Saccharomyces cerevisiae S288C: one gene and its partner. Changing the gene in region 1 together with any one later gene gives a genetic interaction. Each region holds a gene or a part of one and is shown in the gene's direction. Other genes may lie near its edges.

Region 1 (3,179 bases):
AAAAAGGTTTGAAGAAACCCCGTTCAGGTTTCCACGTAATCGTTTAGGTATTAACTTTTTTTTACTCGCTTCTAGAAGTTTAGTATATTCTTTTGTACACAGAATTGTATATTTTTTTTATAATCTTGGATTCACCATTTAACTAGATTTGGAAATATAAGGAATGGCACTGAAAAAATTAAGGACCAACCCCGAAGAGCAAAAAATGAATGCGAATTCTGTGGATCGAACACAGGACCTCCAGATAACTTGACCGAAGTTTTTTCTTCAGTCTGGCGCTCTCCCAACTGAGCTAAATCCGCTTCTATTTATGAAAAATTCATTGTTACAGGAACTATAGGACTATAATAACTAGCTGCTAACACCTTTAAATGTGACTTTTCTCATAAGGAAATCTAGCGATTCAGAATTCGAGAATTTTGCAGATTGCAAAGTTTTCTTTTTACCATAATATTTGAGAATGTTGTAAAACTTGAGATAATTATTCGGATGTCATTGTTGATTGAAGATAGCATTCCTATGAGTCGCCCTCGAGGACTTGGATCGAAAAATCTACATAATATTAGTAATTACTATTATTGTTGGAATTGGATAAACCGTCGTCCACCTATTTGAGAAATAGGTAATTATTATATGAGTTATTTGGTTCCTTTTTGTTAAAGTAATAATTTGAAATGCCATCCATTTGGTAATATTCATGTTATTGGCATATTATCATATGCGGTTCAGGAAGATGACATAAAAGTTGAGAAACAGTTATCAACCCTAATGGAAGCTGAAATGCAAGATTGATAATGTAATAGCATAATGAAACATATAAAACGGAATGGGGAATAATCGTAATATTATTATGTAGAACTACCGATTCCATTTTGAGGATTCCTACATCCTCGAGGAGACTTCTAGCATATTCTGTGTACATAATATTATGGTCTTGATCAACAATGCAATCCCAACAGTTATCAAATTATTCAGAAAATTGATCACATTTTCGATAAATCTATTATGAAAGTAAAATTTTGACTCATACCTAAGTTCTCGTTATTCGTTAATCTTATGAACTCATTAACCTTGGCGTTTCAGCATCCGCTATGATTACTAGTGCTTAAACCTTGTTATTCATGCCTCATAATTGATGCCATCTTCTAACCTCGAGCGTGATAAAATTTTTGTAATATGAACACCAATCGGCGGAAGATCATCCCAAAGCCACATATGATGGTGCCTTATAACATTAATAACAACTTCAACTGCTGCATACCGATAATATCTTGACGATTATGCATTCGTGTCCTGATAGCTAATGCCATGAAACAATTCTTTTCAATCGCACTTGCACCTTCGTGAAATAGAAGGGTTATCTGGGCTTATCAGACTTGTCCACAGTTTACATATAATTTTTTTTCTGTATTAAATTTTGTGAGCTTTCTTTTTACTCAAACGAACTGTGTTATTTTTCGTTCATTAAATGCGTACCTTTAAGCATCATCAAGTATTGCTCTTCGGGAAAAATGAAGTAACCTTGTTAGGTTAATTTCACTAGTACTATACATATTTTATCCTGTATCATACCAGAGGATCATTCTAGCCACAATGGTCGATACGCATAAACTAGCAGACGACGTTCTTCAGCTATTGGATAACCGTATCGAAGATAATTATAGGGTTTGTGTTATCCTAGTCGGTTCTCCAGGCTCCGGTAAGTCTACTATTGCGGAAGAACTTTGTCAAATTATAAATGAAAAATATCACACATTTTTGTCAGAGCATCCAAATGTTATTGAGGTTAATGATAGGTTGAAACCTATGGTTAACCTAGTAGACTCTTTAAAGACGCTCCAGCCCAATAAAGTAGCTGAAATGATTGAAAATCAGGGGCTGTTTAAAGATCATGTTGAGGATGTTAATTTTCAACCAGTCAAGTACTCAGCCCTTACATCAAATAATGAAGAATGTACCGCAGTAGTTGCCAGAGGTGGTACTGCGAATGCCATAAGAATCGCAGCAGTTGATAATCCAGTCAATGTTAACAAGTTGGCCCAGGATAGTATCAATATAGCGCAAATAGTCCCAATGGATGGTTTTCACTTATCTCGCAGATGTCTAGACCTATTCAAAGACCCACAAACTGCCCATAAAAGAAGAGGTTCGCCCTCAACGTTTGACAGTAACAATTTCTTACAATTGTGTAAAATTCTAGCCAAGACGTCCCTATGTAAGGTCTCCTCACATCATAAATTTTACTCCACTTCAAGCGTTTTTGAGAAGTTATCCAAAACTTTTAGCCAAACAATTCCTGATATCTTTGTTCCAGGATTTAACCATGCACTAAAAGACCCAACTCCAGATCAGTACTGTATTTCCAAATTTACAAGGATAGTTATACTTGAAGGGTTATACCTACTGTATGACCAAGAAAACTGGAAGAAAATTTACAAAACATTAGCTGATACGGGAGCACTTCTTGTTTATAAGATTGACATAGACTATGAGGCCACCGAAGAAAGGGTGGCCAAAAGGCATTTGCAATCAGGGTTAGTCACGACTATTGCAGAAGGACGAGAGAAGTTTCGCAGCAATGATTTGTTGAATGGCAGGGATATAGATAATCATTTAATTAAGGTAGATAATATCGTCCATATCCGCAACGACTAGAAGGTTAGGCGGAACCTTGTATATATTTTTGTAAAATCGAACTGAATACAGATAATTAAGGCGCGCAAGCAAAAACGGCATTCTTTATGAACTCTGCAGAGGTGCCCTTTATTACGACATATATGGGAAGTAATACATATTGATTCTACAAGAAGTTCAAGCCAAGGTTTAGATATGAGTGACCAAATCAACGTTTTGTCAATGCAACAACAACAACAGCAGCAGCAGCAGCAGCAGCAAGTATATATGTCTCCTCAAGCAGAAAACTTGAATCATATGTACTTGTTAGTTAACAAGCTAGTGAAACAGTTGAGGGAAAATCAAGCAGAAAAGGCGAAAATACTAAGGAACATAGACATATTATCCGGAAGCTTAAACAAGTATGAGACATCTGAAGAACCTCACGATACCACGGAAAATATTGCATTATTTAATAGATTTCTAGAACAAAGAGGGAAAGCTCCTATTACTGAGAAAGAGCAACTAAGCAACAATCTGGATGAAAATGCGAAAGATGACGTTAT
Region 2 (2,857 bases), on another chromosome or scaffold:
TCTAGCAAATCAAAGAAAAAAATCATTGGTTTAGTTATCGGCGTTGTTGTTGGTGGATGCTTATATATTTTATTCATGATTTTTGCTTTCAAGTATATCATAAGAAGGCGGATTCAAAGTCAAGAAATTATCAAGAACCCAGAAATTTCCAGTATCAGTTCAAGTGAATTTGGTGGAGAGAAAAATTACAATAATGAAAAGAGAATGAGCGTTCAAGAATCCATAACACAATCTATGCGAATTCAAAATTGGATGGATGATAGTTACTATGGTCACGGGTTGACAAATAATGACTCAACTCCAACCAGGCACAATACATCGAGTTCCATACCAAAAATTTCAAGACCAATTGCTAGCCAAAACTCCCTGGGTTGGAACGAAGTTTGATAGCAATGTCTGCAGAGACTTTCTCCGCTTGCATAACCTTATAAACTTATAACGATACCTACTTATTTCATATCTTATGTATAGTTCTCCTTCAAGGAGACGTTGTTTTAATACTTTTATCTATTCCATTTATCATTATCTACTTTGTAATCAAAGATCGAAGCACTGCTGTGTGCGTTGATTTGGGCCTGACACGAGAAGAAAGTGCGTTACGTACATCAAGATTTTATTCAAAATCCAGCGTCTCCTCCGCAAAAAAGTTCAGAATACATTTGAATGAGTCCTCTGGATTCTCCAACAGTAAATTATGCCCAGTATTAAATTCTCGGACATCAGCACAGGGAAAGTTATACCTCAGGAGGGAATAATCATTGTTAATAAAGTTAGACTGCAGGCCTTTCATGAATAAAACTTTACGACTGGCTGTGCCTTTTTGGAAGAAGTCCCTTTGGTTCGATAGATCCGGCCATTTTTTCACTTCATCCAACAGGTTCGGCATGCTGGAGAGAGGCATTGAGTAATTTATATAAGGATCATGCTGTTGTTGTTCATAGTGTAACTGTGCTTGGTGTACATTATTGGATTTTACAGAAAGAAAACCGTTGGCAAAGTAGAGTGCCACAGCTCCACCACATTTCCTCTTATTACATTCCAAACTTTTGAAAAGCTCAAGAACTTTTTTCTGCCAGCTGGGGGAACCTCTTAAAATCTTGACATCTCTGCGGATAATCCGCATTATTAAGTCATAGTTTTGTAATATCATGGGATCTAATTCTGGGGTTTCATAAGGCGGTAAATCAATTGATATACACTTTCGTATATTAATATTCTTGTACAATGTGGTTAATAATGCAATTTTACCACCCATAGAGAATCCCAGTAAATAAATAGGTCTCTCCAAGCCAATATGAGTTTCAATAAAATAAATCAAATCATTGGTCAGTGTAGTGTAGTCATAAGGTATTGCTTTTGGTGAAATGCCATGATTTCTTACATCAACAGAAAAAATATCCGCGTCAAGCTTCCTTGAAAGAAGCTTATTGAGAGAATGAAACATCACGTGTGAGCCCAAAAGGCCATGGATGTTAATAATTGCAGGTCTTTGCTCGAATTTTATTAGCGATGAAACATCTGAGGGTAAACGCGTTCTATGGAATGATAAATCGACAATTATTTTATAAGGTAGCGCTTTATTATGCGCTAGTCTCGACATTTGTAAGCCCTCTTCCCACGGTTCCTTTTATTTTGCAGTTTGTATACGTCTCGACCTTGGCATGAGACAAAAACAGTTTCCCCAAAAGACGCGCTGTGGTATTCAGTAAAGGCTGGTTTCTATGATAGGTTGAGTTTAGAATAATTTTTAAACAGGATACTAAGATAAAGCAAATATTTCAATCATGTCCAGATTAAGAAGATTCAATAGAAAGATCTTAAGCTTGAGTTCTGACTACACTCATGACGGTGAATCTGATCAAGAAGATGTATCCATATTACCATTAGATACAGAAGAGCAGGAAGAACTCATACAAAAATTTGAGACTAATGCTCACATCACAAATAAGCTGTACATAAACCTGTTAAGCATATTGTATTTGCTATATGGCGGACTGCTAATGATACTCGTAAGAAAATCGCGAGGGTATATTAAGTTAGCACTTCTTGCTGGCGCTAATTCTTTGATCTGTTCGTGCATCACACTTAGATATGATATTGTAAACGACTATCTTTTGTTCAAAAAGTTTAAGTTAAGAGTGAGCAATTTTTCTATTAACATAATAAACATTATTTTACTAGTACTTATGGCTTGGATAAGTTTCAATCATGTGGTCGAAGATAAAAAAACGGTGCTCTGTTTGCAAGTTCCAATGTTTTTATTCTGGGTCGCTGTGCTTGTGAAAAGATGGGCTCGAAATATCGAAGATGAAATCGCAGATCTAAGATGCTTGAAATACAAATACAAAAATGCTTAGTTCTATATCGCGACGTATTGTAATATTCATTGGTTAGTATATTCCGGAATATTTATTACTAATATTACAAATTGATTGGTTGGCAGCTCCTTATTTGTGAACAAGGCCAAAAAGTACTGCTACGAGCTTATTCAAGCATACATATATATAGCTTTAATTCCAAAATCATCGTCACAGGAATCTGCTTTAAAATCCAGTAAAAGACTAACCTAGTCAAAGGGGACATAGAATAGCTTACAAGAGGATTCAGTTTGGAGCTAACACTTTCTTCGGAACTTTCCAGCTTCGTACAAAAGTGCAGATACGTTAAAAGATCAGTTTATCCGTATGTTTTGAAAAGGCTATCTAGTGCAGAAGTCTCTAATTTCAATATAATAGCTTGCTAAATAGTCTTCGAGGCGTTGCATATCTATCAAGAAAACAACATGACCAATGTACCTAGAATTATAATTAAGTAGATGATGCCAATGAGGTGAGCGAGCAAAACCATGTCAATTGGA

The links.
Region 2: mutations in YFH7 (region 1) and YGR016W together harm fitness more than expected from each alone (negative genetic interaction), as found in Saccharomyces cerevisiae (one large-scale study listed by BioGRID).

What each region holds. Positions count from the first base shown.
Region 1 is NC_001138.5:157,706-160,884, forward strand, and holds YFH7 (Yfh7p), read left to right. Parts: upstream 1-1,593; coding exon 1,594-2,655; downstream 2,656-3,179. Other genes in the region: YFR006W (putative Xaa-Pro dipeptidase), read left to right, coding at 1-47; FAR7 (Far7p), read left to right, coding at 2,830-3,179. UniProt on the Saccharomyces cerevisiae protein: ATP-dependent kinase that could be involved in endoplasmic reticulum membrane assembly.
Region 2 is NC_001139.9:520,477-523,333, forward strand, and holds YGR016W (uncharacterized protein), read left to right. Parts: upstream 1-1,784; coding exon 1,785-2,357; downstream 2,358-2,857. Other genes in the region: MSB2 (Msb2p), read left to right, coding at 1-387; EAT1 (putative hydrolase), read right to left, coding at 614-1,600; YGR016C-A (uncharacterized protein), read right to left, coding at 2,770-2,857.